Rhinolophus ferrumequinum: one gene and its partner. The protein of the gene in region 1 purifies or fractionates together with the protein of each later gene. This does not show direct contact. Links are inferred from orthologs where the notes say so. Each region holds a gene or a part of one and is shown on either strand. Other genes may lie near its edges.

The links. Proteins that work in one complex are often made in the same cells at the same time.
Region 2: the proteins of DHX38 (region 1) and PPP4R3A purify together in Homo sapiens (co-immunoprecipitation; 3 studies listed by BioGRID and IntAct, with this or other methods). This does not show direct contact. The link is inferred for Rhinolophus ferrumequinum from reciprocal best matches to the Homo sapiens genes DHX38 and PPP4R3A.

What each region holds. Positions count from the first base shown.
Region 1 is NC_046298.1:20,680,502-20,687,565, reverse strand, and holds the start of DHX38 (pre-mRNA-splicing factor ATP-dependent RNA helicase PRP16), read left to right. Parts: upstream 1-4,057; 5' UTR 4,058-4,351; intron 4,352-6,429; 5' UTR 6,430-6,443; coding exon 6,444-6,766; intron 6,767-7,064. Other genes in the region: TXNL4B (thioredoxin-like protein 4B), read right to left, coding at 607-738. UniProt on the Homo sapiens protein: Probable ATP-binding RNA helicase. Involved in pre-mRNA splicing as component of the spliceosome.
Region 2 is NC_046289.1:10,856,070-10,863,184, reverse strand, and holds the start of PPP4R3A (serine/threonine-protein phosphatase 4 regulatory subunit 3A), read right to left. Parts: upstream 3,009-7,115; 5' UTR 2,961-3,008; coding exon 2,819-2,960; intron 1-2,818. UniProt on the Homo sapiens protein: Regulatory subunit of serine/threonine-protein phosphatase 4. May regulate the activity of PPP4C at centrosomal microtubule organizing centers.

The DNA of each region.
Region 1 (7,064 bases):
TGTGGGTATCAGCAACAGAAACGGTGGAGGAGGCCTTAGTCCTGGGGTAAGTCTCTCTCCATAATAAACAGAGACAAGAATCAACCTACTCTGTCCCATCTGGCCCTCCCTACTCATCAGTGTGAAGATGAGTTGTGAGGTCAGAGATTATCGTCAGGCACACACTGGAGCAGCACACGAGTAAAGCCTATCTGCAGGCAGAGAAAACAAAGTTCAATTCGAGCTCTACGATTCAGTGGGTCTGTGCCTGCGGGAGGTCACGTGACCTCACTGGCATTCATCTCCCCCTTGGGAATAGGAATAGTCGTGATCCCGCTGTGTGAGCACTGAATAAGATAATGTTCATAGCCGCTTGTTAGTAACATTTCCGGTCTTCTATTGCCTTGTTGGTGAAGTGGAGCTCTCACAGTTGCTAGTGGAGATGGACATCCAGGACAGACTCAGCACAATCACAGATTTAGGGATTCGGCACTTAGTGAAGGCGTGCTAACACATGATCAGCTGTATTCCCACGCCCTGCCTGCGCCCTTTCATGCACTTTGCAGATGTTGAAGTGAGGATGCAGAGATTTTTAATAAAAAACATTTGTTTAAAAAATTCACTTACGATATCATCTAGCTGCAGACAGACAGCATCCTCGTCTCTCCCAAACCTGAGAACCAACACTTTCTCTGCAGTGCTTTTTATCACCTGGTCAACTTCTTTTTTGCTGGTCAGCTTGGGCAACAGGAAGCTCATCTTGAAATCATCCAAATATTAATCCTCACTGTCAGTCCTGAAATAAAGTTGCAATGTTTAAAGGCAGATTAAGTACATGAGTCCTAATTTTTAAAAAATGTTAATTTTTGAAGTAGGTGATAATGTTTGTTTTCCCCAGAGGAAAAAAGAGGTTCCTATAAGACAGTATTAAAAAAGTAAAAGGAACACACTAAATGCACAAAGAGGTGACAAATAAGTCCACTCGTTTAAAAAGCAACAATATAGAAAGATATACTGTGAAAACCCCCTGTCCCTGTCTTACCCTCCACCCCTCTAACTTACCTGACTGGCCTAGTTCCCACGGCCCCATTTCTCCCCACACACCAGGTAACTACTTTCATTAGTTTCTTATGTACCTCCCAGAATTTTGTGATGCATTCCCTAGAAAATATAAATATGCATTCCTATGTTTTCTCCTTCTTTTACCCCCCAAATAGCCTTTTCTATCAGTCAATGTTCCAGTAGGAAAGAGATGAAATCCTCACATTTGGTTATTTGAAGGGATTTTTATTAAGGCAGGGTATAGGAAAACTACAGGGTTCAGTGCTATAGTCTGGGGCTAGTAACAGTGGGGCACTCTTCCCACCCCTAGGCCTGAAGGAGAATGGGAGGGAGTAGTCACCAAAACTGTGTGGTGGAGACTGCTGAGTGGAGAAGGCCGCTGTATAGGAGGTCAGCCTGCATGCAGTAAGGGGTGCAGCCACTTTCCTCCCTCCCTCCCTCTGCTCTCCACTGGCTGACTCCACCTGGAAACAAAGGATTAGGGAGCTGCAGAGCTCGACAAGCCTTCTGGTCCCAGAGCTGTCTAGAGGAGGAGGAAGAGTGGCTCTAGAGGGGCAAATGACAGATGTCCAGCACACATATGATGTCTTTACCCACTCTTCTGCACTTTGCACTCTTTTAAACCTAACATACGAAGACTGTCCCATATCCACACACAGAAAATGTACACATTCTTTGTCACAGCGGCATACTATTTCATGCATGTATTTCATGCATACTTTTTACACAGTCCTTTATTGATGAACATTTGTATTATCATGAGTCCTGGCTTAACGATTCTTGGTGCATCTTACTAGGTGCACCCCATCACATGGCAAACAGATCAATTAAGAGCGTGGAAAACCACACACACACACACACAAATCATAAAATACTGAGTTAGAATGGGCCTAATCCATTCTGTATGCAGCCCCTCATTTTACAGACTAGTTTGCATATAGTTACTCTTCTAGCTACAAGAACAAGAAATACAATCCAGGTCACCAAATTTCTAGTCTAGCATTCCTTCTACTACAATTAGTTCCTATTTTACTTATTTTTAACTTTTATTTACTTTAAGTGTGTTTTTCCAGGACCCATCCGCTCAGAGAAAAGTAGTTGTTTCAATCTAGTTGTGGAGGGCGTAGCTCACAGTTGCCCATGTGGGGATCGAACTGGCAACCTTGTTGTTAAGAGCACCATGCTCTAACCAACTAAGCTAACCTGCCGCCCCAATGTGCTATTTGAAAGTTGAGAAACTTTTTGATCAAACTTTGTTTTTGAGTCCATCCACAAGAAACCCATTAAGTTACTTAATATTTCAAATTCAGTTCCAAAGTTGGCTAATGCTTTGAAAAGGGAGGATTTTTTCTCTCTCTCTCTTTTTTTTTTTTGGTGACAAGTCACATTTTAAGATGTGAATTGATAAAAATTCATATAGGAAATGAAACCGTTCCAGTAATAGGTGATACTTTAAATAGGGAAGCTGATTACGAGGACTCATCAAATGTGAGTGGCAGAACAAATTACTGATGAAAGTTAAAGAGAATATGGATCTGTCTCACGACTAGAATTCAAACAAACAGCAACTCCTGTTTATTACTAAGAGGAAGACATGAGGGGAGGGCAAAGCTGTCAACGGATGGAGAGGGACTGGATAAATGTTGGAAGGAGGAGGGAAACTGAGACCACACTTAATAGAATGTCTACAGCAAAGGATACTAAAAGAGAAGTCATAAAAGAGGTACAAACGGACAATAAACATATTTGGCAAGTTAAGCTTTACTAGTAAGGAAAGAACAGCAAATTAAAAGATGTATTTTTAAACTCCATTAAATTGGCAAAGATTAAACAATAATGGCAATAGAGTGAATGATGGGCAGGCATTCACGGTCCCTGCTGGAATGTAGATAAACAAACCTTTTCTTGTAAGAAAGCTGAAATACTCTTTAGCCAAAATTTCCAGTTCTGAGAGTTAGTTCTCAGTAAATAGACGTATGCACAAATATTTACATACAAAGGATATTCCTCACATTTAAAATGGTGAAAAACTGGAAATCAATTTAAATGGCTACTTAATAGGGCATTGGTGAAATAAAAGATAGTACCGTCCTACAATGTACAACCACTACATACTATGTCAGACGTGTACATTTCAGATAATGAATAGTTCTCAAGATAAAGAAAAAAGTTATAACACAGTGTGATCCCACACTCTATAGTTTAGGTGCAAAACCTAATTATAATGCAAATGTACATTTTTACAAAGAAAAATAACTGGGAATGAATGTCCCCAGACACCATCAGTGGCTATCTCTGCGTGTGAACAGATGGGTGACTTTTATTTACATCGGAATGTGTCTTTATTTTTCCAAAACATTCGACCTCGTTGACCCGTAACAAACGCGGGAGTAAGGCACCTATGACCTGCGGAGTCGAAAAATCGCGCATAACTTAAGTCGGCCCGCCACTGTACGCGGATTCCCAACAACTCATCAAAAATACAGTTGACCCTTGAAAAACGCGGGTTCAAACAGCGCCGTTCAAACCCGTCGTTGTTCAAGGGTCACTGGTAAATTTTTAATGTCTGTGGTTGGGGTCCTCCTGGCCCAAAACTACTAGGGAAGGCGATACTTACTTTCTTTGTGCAAGTCGCCTCTCTCTTCAACTTCAGGACTGTCAGCAACCCGTCCCCTTTTCCAGAGTCGGGACACTGGCGGCTCCTTTCTTCCGCCGGAAACACCACAGCGACGCGAATCCAAAGTAACCGAGAGACCGCTGTCCAGCAACCCTGGCGGCCCACTTAAGGAGACGGAAACGGAAAAGGAAAACGCACAGGCGCAGTAGAGACACGCGCCGCCGTCCCCGCTCAACAGCCCAATAAAGCAGAAGTTGTTGTAGTCACTGTCCCCTGTATCGAGCTCTAACCGGAAGCCTTAGGTCATTTCCGCCCTTATTAAAGATGACAGACCTCCTCCTTTTCCCTTTCACCCGTTCAGAGTAGAGGCGGGGCCAGGCCTCTCAGACTAAGTGTGATTGGTCGCAACGAGACTCGGAAGTGTCTCTGATCAGAGTCCCAGAGTAAGGCACTCTAGCCTTGAGGAACTGGTCGCGTTATGTCCCATACTTGGAGCCAGGAACCAGCATTTTCCGGGTTGCTCTCTATGGTCTCTCTTTGGAAGGATAGAAGGAGCCGCACAAGGTATTATGGGACAGTAATGGCGGCTTTCAAGGTGCGGATTTTGGCTCTCTAAGGAGAGCTGAGGAAGAGCTAGCGGCGCCGGCGCCCCAGCGTCTGGGACAGGAGGTCCCGAGAGTCGGGCTTGGTGAGGTGAGTGTCCTTTTCCCTTCCTGACCTGCCGTTCGCCAATCATGGCGGCTCCAGGCAGCGGATATCGGTCCCTCGCTCAGGTTCGGGCCCGGGTTTGGAAAGTCTGGTTCCTGCCACCCAACTTGCCTTACTCATCCTAGGGATCCTGCGCAGGTCTGGCCTGGCCTGGCTTTTCTCTTTGTTCAGGTCAGATCCTGCTGCCCGGCGCGGCCTCTCTGAGGTCCAGGGATGCTACTCGGGGGTCAACCGTGTACCCTTCCTTAGGCCTCCGCGTTAGGCCACTCGCGGACGCACGCCGAGCCCAGTAGGGTTCCTCGTGTCTTCCTCTTCTCTGTCACGGCGGTATCTATCAGGTGATCTCCTCTACTAGAATGTTAACTCCAAAGGGTGCGGATTTTTGTCTGTTTTGTTCTCTGTTCAATCCCTGTTGCCCATAACAGCGATTGGCTCACAGACGAGTAGGTACTCAATATTTGTTGAAGGAGTAAATCCAGTTACTTGCTTCATTGTTTTTCTCGTAACCCTTTGTAGCTTCTTTGCCATTAATTCTGCTCCACAATCCAACTCCTTAACTCCTTATTTGTTCTCAGCAGCTATGTAGTTAAATCCTGCTGTCAGACTCCTTGACCTGTGCTGCTGGAATCTTCCCTTGCTGTCTCTAGAAATGTTTCACTTCCCTTTAATCAGTTTAAATTCATTCATCCATTTATTCAAACGTTATTCAATGTTTATTTTGCCAGGCACTGAGTAGGGCATCAACAAGACTGACAAGGTTCTCTCTCCTGCATAGAATGGCATTCTAGGGGTATACATTCTAGTTCAGACTACATCTGAGCAGAGCCTTTTCAACTTCAGGACTGTCAGCAACCTGTCCCCTTTTTCTGTTTAGATTTTCTCAAATGTGTACAGATGTCACCAATATGCAGTTTTCCCTTCTATCTGCCTAACAGCATTTTTCAAAATGCAGCTCTTGTTCCTTTGTCCATAATATATGTCCAGTCTGTTTGGCAATATTCCTCTATAGAGCTGTGCATGTTAATTAGAGCTGGGCAGAACATTCTAGATTCTGGTGGTATACTACCTCTTGACAGTTCCTTTGCTTCACTGACTTGTTGGAATGAGGGGAATTATCCAAGCACCCAGAATTGGTGTATCTTTATAAGTGGATGCTGTGAAATAGGAAGTAAAGAGGAATTTGTTATAAGTGCTAGGAAATCCATTTTTTAACCTAGTGCTTCTCATCAGTATTTTTGGTGAACATGGATTGTTGTTAAACAGATTTCGATTGCTGTGAGGTAATTCTTTTCTACAAAACATAACTGGTCCCCCCCATACCCCACAAAACCACTAAAGTATGGATCACATGGGTGGTAGGTACCCTTATACCCCAATATCTCTGCTGTGTCTGTAGTTAAAGGGAGTGAGAAGTAGAAGAACTTGTGTAAAAAAATGGTGAGGGACCCAATTCAATATATAGGAGCACAGCAAATAATACAATGTAACAATTTCATTTATGTAACTCTTTATATTTTCAAAGAAGTTTCACATACACTTTCTTGTTTGATTCTCACAATAACTCCATGGATTACATGTAAAACAGAAAGTATTTCCGTTTTACAGATAGAGAAATTATGCCCAATCAAAGATTAAGTTATTTGCTTACAGTCATACAGGTAGAAAATGTCAAGAGCCTGGATTCCAATTGAGGTTTCTGACTTCAAATCTAATGGTATTTCCCTTATGCTCCCTTTATAGATGCCATCATGTTTTAGTAAGTGTGCCACAGTGAGACCAGAGGATGATACTTGCTTGGGTCCTGGTGTTTGGGGGTGGATGCGGCGTGTGTGTGTGTGTGTGTGTGTATCTCTGATGTGTTGCAGTGGGAGTAGGAGGGTCTTTTGAGATTATCAGTGACTTGATGGAAAGGTCTTAGCAAGAGGTGCTAAAGAAATCCTGGTTTTAAGGGGGAGTTTAACCCCCTAAAGATACCTACAACTATAGTTATCTTGGGATACAGCAAAACCAAGCCCTCTCCCTCTTATGTCCAATACAAAATGGTTTGTCTTCCTTCTGAGAAGTCCCGGAACCTGTCATGGAGGACACCAGTGAGGAGACCTCGATCCATAGACTGGAAGGCACTGATCTGGACACTCAGGTTGGCGGTCTTATTTGCAAGACCAAAAGTGCAGCCAGTGAGCAGCATGTGTTCAAGGCCCCTGCTCCCCGCCCTTCATTGCTGGGACTGGACTTGTTGGCTTCCCTGAAACGGAGGGAGCGAGAGGAGAAGGATGATGGGGAGGACAAGAAGAAGTCCCGAATCTCCTCCTATAAGGACTGGGAAGAGAGCAGGGACGAGCAGAAGGATGCTGAGGAGGACAGCAATGACCAGGCTGGCCGAAGCAGCCGGAAAGACAGGTAAAGGCTTTAGGGTGTTTGACCCAAAGGGAATGAAAATGGAGGCCAGAAAATAATGGCCCATGTTTATCGCTCAGTTTTCTTGTTGGACGTGGAGAGCTTTATGATTTTATTATGGTTCTTTAATATTGAGGGTAAATAGGAATTGTATTTTCTTCAGATTTGTGGGAACATTCAAAGGAGACTAAAGAATAGATGCTGGAGATTAGAAATGCTTTGGATTGTTGCCATATGTATGCTTTCAGTACCTGGGGGATAAAATGGAAAAGGATGGGTCACTTGTTTGGCACAGCTAAAG
Region 2 (7,115 bases), on another chromosome or scaffold:
GTACAGCAAAAGCTGAAAGAGCAATACTGAAAAAACAACACTAAGTGATCTTTATTGGAAGATGGAACTTTGCAGGTATATAGCTACAAAAAACCCCTGAGAAATGAGGTAACCTATCTTTATGGAAGTCCTCCTACAACATATTTTGCCAGTAGGAACCCACTGAATAAGGATGCAATCCAGAAAATGGGCTCAGTAGCTTGGTGGGACATCTATCTCCTCCAAGGCAAGGTGGGCTACAACTTTGCCAGGCCACTCAGCTTTAGGGGAAGGAGCATACTTACCAGACAGATGTGCCTGTTAACAGGGGGGCCACAAGTACTTCCATTCAGAAATTGCACTCCTGATTTTGATCCAGAAGTACAAGTATATACTTATACTTTCAGATAAGTATATAAGCTCCTCTAAAGATAAATGATGCATTTTATAGAAAATCAGAAACACTTTCTATTTTGCTTGTCACAATAAAAAGAAAATTCTCAATTACCCTATAATGGAGAATTGGGAAAAGCACACAATGGATAACCCAAACTAGCAGTCAGTACAAAAACTCCCATGTGTGGCTTGGAAATAAACTATAATTTTAAACATCTTTAAGCTAAAAATTGTTTTCATTTTCTTTGAGATAAACCTTGAGTCTAAGTATAAAGCAGCAAATGCAAGCTGACAGCAATATGGCAATTTAAAACACACTGTAAACAGTTAATGATAATAAATAATTGGTAATACTAGTTTCAAGCTATTAGTTAATCAAACCCAGTTTGAAAGCTAATCTTGCTTCTTAACCAAGCTGTGTTATTTAGCCTTTCTGAGCCCCAGTTTCCTATCTGTAAAATATGGTTAATAATAGTTCCTACACCAGAGGATACAAGTAAAGAGTCTCTGGCACATAGTAGGCACTCAGTAAATTTTGATTATTCTTTCCTGTTAAAAAAATGTCAAACTAAAGATCATTTCACAAGTATTCTAGAATTTTCTAAGCGCACTCTTTGGATTTAGTTCTCCATACAACTTAAGTTTAACAAGGGCACATCAGTTAATTTATTTCATCTCTTTCCCTATTAGATAAAAATTAAATCTATTTTGTTTCAACCATTCAATTTGCTTTACTGCAGGACCCCAAACCTTCCCAAGGGAAGGAAGGAGATTAGCGGCTATTTCTAAAGTGGTAAAAATAAAAATGGGGAGAAAAAACCAGATTCCTATATTATTGTATTAGAAGAGTATGATTTCCTATGATAGTATGACATTGAGACATAATGCTTAAAAATACTTTTAAAAACTTTGTATAAGTCCAATTAAACACATAATGTGAAGTAAAATTATACACCTTATTTCAAATTATGAGATTTCTAAGAAGTGATCTCAAATCTACACATGCTTTCATCTCAAAAGAAGTCAACTGAACATACAAAGCCCGTACCTTCCAATTCACTGTTAAGTTTCCCAAGCATCCAAAGATGTACAGGGTATAGTTCTGACAGTCATGTACAAAGAGCACACTAACAAACTTGTATTTTAAGAGGCAAATAAACCTCAGAAAAATATACTCGACGTATTCAAAACCCTTTAAATGCCTCTAAAAGGAAACAATTTTCCTCCAGTTTTAAGTCATTTTGGCAGCCATATTAGGATAACCTGTGGGCCATCGACTCCCAATTACCACTTCTCAATTCAAACTGAAAATCATGTCCCTGAAGTCTTCAGTTACACAACGATGAGTCTTGTTTGTTTTTCATGCAATTGCAGTTCTGGCTTGAGGTGAGTCCTATTAAAATTTGAAATGGGTTCGTAATAATTCAGATACAGAGCAACCACAATCATAATAAACTGAAATAGTTTGCTACTAATGTAACAAGACTATAGATTAATGTAACAAGACAGGTTTTCAACTTGAGAAGAAACAACTTGAAAATAGTGTTACCTGACGTGAACATGCCACGGAGGGAAGGAGCAATCCCTAAAAAGAGTTACGTCTTTAAAAATGTGAAACGCTTATTTCCAAACAACTTGGTCTTTGAACCTGGAGGGCTGTTTCCAAATATGCGAAGCATAGGCGCTAGGGCAGATTGACACGGATTTAAAGCGCTCTGCAAACTTTTCCCCACCTGTTAACTGAACCAAATTATGGATATACATTTAAGCAGTCAATAAAGCTCGCATAAAACGATTCCAAACTTGAAAGTCGTTTCCACAGTTAAACTGCACAGAAGATTCTACAACAAAAAGACAACACTGGGGAACACAAATCTATCTTCTTACGGCAAAGAAGCATTTTCTCGGCCGAGTGTAGTTGCCAGAACCACGCACCAGGGTTGCCAACCTGCAACAGGATCGGCAAGATGTAACAGTTTTGTTTGTTTGTTTGTTTTTCAAGTAAAGCACAGGGAAATGTTCTCCCAAGAGTGAAACAGCTAAGAACTTTCTTAGCTCCGAGGAAAGTTTCATGCCTGCTTTCCAGATGGGTGGCCTAGGGAGGCAGATCGGATTAATCAGTGCCTTTTCTCAAGGTCACTCTAGTGCAAAAGAACAGCCCCGTGCGGGCTCCCGATCCCAGGTCTCCGACCCCTCCACATTCTCAGGCAACAGCCCAGACGTGCCTGGCTCCACTCGTGCTCGCAAGTGCCACCAGGCACTCGGAGAAAAAAACGTTTCGAACGCTCTCGGTGAAGACTGGGGTACCCGTGGCCCGCCCACCACCGAGGCGGTAGCCGCCCCCTCCGTCCACGGACGGAGAGGGACACTGGCCCCAAGAACCAGGGCCGTGGCCGAGGGCCGTGGGGGAGGCGAGGGTCCCGCGGAGCAGGGATTCACCTACCATCGCTCTCCGCCCTGACAAGCAGGGACATGCCCTTCAGCCGCTCCACGTAACCGGACGACACATGCCCGGTGCCACGGTCGTCCCACTGCCGGTCCTCGTTAAGCGTGTAAACCTTCACCCGCCGCCGGGTGTCGGTCATCGTGCCGCCCAGGAGCCGGGGCAAAGGCCCCGCCGGAGTCGCCCAGGAAGGGGGTCCGGGGGAGGCGGGAGCCGAGGCGGGAGGACGCCCGCAAGCGCAGGGGTCCCCGGCTTCACTGCCGTCGCTGGCCGCCGCGGGGCCGCGCTGCCGCCCGCATGGCCCGCTGCCGGGCCCGAGCTCTGGACCCCCGCCTTTCCTCGCCTCTGGTGCCTCGGCGCTATTGTCCAGGCCCGGCGAGCCCGGCCGCCCCGAGTGGGGCGCGCAGCGCTTAGCAGCCTCTCGTCCCGCCGCGGTAGGTACTCGGGGCGCCGGTCACTGCCCTGCTCCCGCCTCCGCCATGATCTCCGCGAAGCCGCTTCCCGCGCCGCCGCCGCCTCCTCAGGCCGCCGCCGCCATGTTTTCCTTCCTTATACCTGGCCCTGCCACCGTAGCCGGTGGCTCCACTCCGCTTCCCTGCTTCAAATGTCCGACGCCGACGGGCGCCTGCTCCTGCCGCAGCTGCTACCACTGCGCGGGAGACTCCAAGAGCCCCCAGGCGCCGAGCGCTCGTGGCTGCGGGCAGTCCCTTTCCTTTGCCGCTGCCGCCGCCTCTTCCGTCTTCCTCACAGAGCCAAAGCCGCCGCCATCTTGGTTCGCCCCTCAATAGCGGCGCGCGGGGCCACCCAGGCAGCAGCTGCAGGGGCGGCCCGTTGGTCCCACCATTTAAAGAGACAGGAGCGAGGCCGGGAGCCTCAATGCATCGAAAGCCTCAGACGGAGGCGGTTGGCGGGCGCCGAGTTGCCAAGGTGGCGGGAGCGCCGGGTGCGAAGGAGGCGGAACGCTGGTCGCACCGGTGACGGCCCGGGGCTCCCTCGCGCTCCCTGCACGCACTGTCGTGCGGGCGCTGGGCGGTGTGTGCGTCCGTCGCACCCTGTGTTCGTCATCAGCTCAGCTTGGGGATTCGGAAGGGGCGTGGAGCCGGCCTGTGGCCGCCTGTGCCGGCCTGCTCCTTACCCGCCGCGCGCTTAGTGTCTTGGGCTCTGAGTCTGCCCGCCGACTCCCCGCGTGGCTCGCTGTGCAGCCCCCGGGCCACTTCGGCCTGGGGCCCTCCAGCTGCGCTCCCGACACCCGCTTCCCGACTGTGCTTTCCGGGCCGCCTTTGGGGCTGGACTGGGGCATCCACAGCGCGCAGTTCTGGGGGCGCTGGAGTCTCGCTGACTTCAGCCATTTCTCCTTTGGGAATACATTGAAAAGCTTCCGGCAAGGGCCACAGGTTTTGGGAACGAGATCAGCCACAGGTCTTGGGAGCTGCTTTGGGCTCGTACTGGTGTAGCGAGCGAGTCTAGAAACGTGGGACACTTTGCATTTTCTGGGCCTGGGACCAAACCTAGGAAGTGCCAAGTCTAAAACCAACCACCTTACAATCCAGCTGCTACCTCCATTTCTTTATCCTTTTTCAGAAGTTATCTTCCAGCTCTCCATGTTACAAAAAGAACTTGAGGGGCTTACAAAAAACATACGATACTGTAAAATCACGATGAATAATTCTCGACATTACATGTTAAGCACTGCTAATCTTCAAAAATCACGTTCTCATTCCTCTCATGCAGATAATAGCCACCATTTTGGGGGCTTTTTCCATTTGCCAGACTATTTAGGTCATTGCTGTCCACTAGAAATAAAATTTGAGCAATATATGTAATTTTAAATTTTACAGTAGCCACTTTTTTAAAAAAAGTAAGAAATTTCTGAAATGTAATAACATTTTACTGAATGCAATCTCTTCAATATAATAAAATAGTAAATATTTTACATTCTTTTTCTTCGTACTAAGTTCCCTTCGTCCTAAGTTCAAAATGGGGTATGTGTTTTACCCTTAGTGTAAATTTCTATTTGGATACTAAATTTTCGTTGGAAATACCTGATGTGTAATGAGATTTCATTAAAATTTACTATTGAACAAGTAGATTCACATACTCAAATTATTTCAAACATACTTAAAATGTTTTCAAAAATGAATCAAGTATCAGGGTTTTTTTCCATTTAATTAACATTAAATAAAGTATAAAATTCAGTTCCTGTAGCCACATTTCAAGCACTCTGCAGCCATGTGTGGCTGGTGGCTACTGTTATGGCATGTTCAGGTGCTTAACGTTACCAGGAATTTCATATTCAAACTAGCCACGTAGTTGGAGTTATACCCATCTATTCTGAAAGAGGCCTGGATGGCATGACCAGGGCTGAGTGGTTTTCCAGGATGTGGGATTTCAGTTTTAAAATCAGAAGTTGGGACCTTCCTCCCCTACCACGTCAAATACAAAGAAGTGCTTGCAAAGAGCAGCCTGAGACGTTCATCATTTATAAGCAAAATTAGAAATTGTAAAAAAAAAAAAAAAAAAAGCAATTTTTTTCTAAAAAGTAAAATGTAATAATTTCAAGCATGAGGAGGTAGCAACAATTTTGTCCATTTTTGACACAGTAAGACATCATTAAATTTATTCACGTTACTTTATTTGATCCCCAAACCAAAAACGAAATGATTTGTGGAAAGATCATGTTTCCTTATAATATACTTTTAAGGTAAATTAAATAGGAATTATTTATTACATGAAAAAAATTTAAAATGATATGTAACAAGTAATATAGACAATTATATTTAAATGAACTGTTTAATATAATCTTAAATAACAGTTGAGTTGTATTAGTCAGGGTTCTACCAGAGAAACAACCAGCAGGATACATCTACCCAGATGTCATGGAATTGTTTATGTTATAGTGGGGTATGGTGAGGCAAATCAGAAATACACAGGGCAGGTCAGCAGCAGGATAGAAACTCTTGGGCAGGAGCTGACACTACAGTCCACAGACAGAATTTCTTCCTCAGGGAAACCTCAGTTTTGGTCTGAAGGTCTTTCCACTAAATAGATGAGGCCCGCCCAGATCACCTAGGATAATCTTCACTTAATGTCAAAGATGTGAATCACATCTACAAAATACCCTCACTGCAACACCTAGATTACTGTTTGAGTAACTGGATACTATTGATTGCCTAGCCAAATTGACACAAAACTATCACAGTGGCAAATAAATAGTTTAAAACCACTTAATCCTATACCATGCACAAATAGTGATACAATTTAAGAAAATTCCTAATGGAGTTCAATAACGGGGGGGGGGGGGGGGGGGGGGGGGGGGGGTTGCAAAACACAAAAGGTTGAGATACACTGTCAGTGGTCAAGTGTGGGTGTTGTATTTTGAGTCTAGCTCCTCTTAGTAGCTGTGTGACATTTGCAAGTTTCTTAACCTTTCCATAAGATAGGAATAATAATAACTTCGAAGGTTGTTGTAAGGATTAAATAAGATCCTGATTCCTCCTGCGCTCTAAACATAAAGCTTTTCCTCTGAACCCTTCATGCAGAACATAAACTTGTAACACACGCAGTGGAGCCAATTCATTATGCAATATTTATACCTACTCTATGTTACTTACCTTTGTCCATGTTGCATTTATCCTTTTATAGTGTTGCCTGCTTTTATAGTGTTGCTAAAAACCCTGGAAAGGACAGGGACAATGCTGTCCCTGGACTCCTGAATGCCCGTCCATACAGATGACCAACATATCGGACGTGAAGATAATGGTATCTGTGTGAGGGGAAGGGCATGGCACCAACCGTTAGAAGAGCCGAGCCCTTATAAGAGTTCAGCCACTAAACTGGTGACCTCGTATAAAACACTTAACCCCTTTGGGCCTCAGTTTTCTAATCCCAATGAGATGATCTTTAACAACACTTCTGGCTTTCACATTCTGTAAGTGTGCAGCAATGAATGTAAGAATAATAGAATCATTAAATTCTCTCCATAAAGACAGATGCCAATATGATCACACCTTAGCATTTTCATGACATTTATAAGCATTTTATTACATAGCACCATGCTATTTTTAAGACACATTTTAAATATTTGCTTAACAGTATCCAAAGCATTTCGTACAAGTTGCCCTACTTACGGCTTCCGGCCACTATTGTGCAGTGTGTTACCACATATTATGGCAAGGATATCTATTTGTTTAAAAGCCCCTGGGGTAGATTTCAATTATTGCGCTGAAGAGTAACTGTTTTCCTGAAAATTATAAAAACATTCTACATTCTAAGAAATGGCTATTATGGATGGGATGAA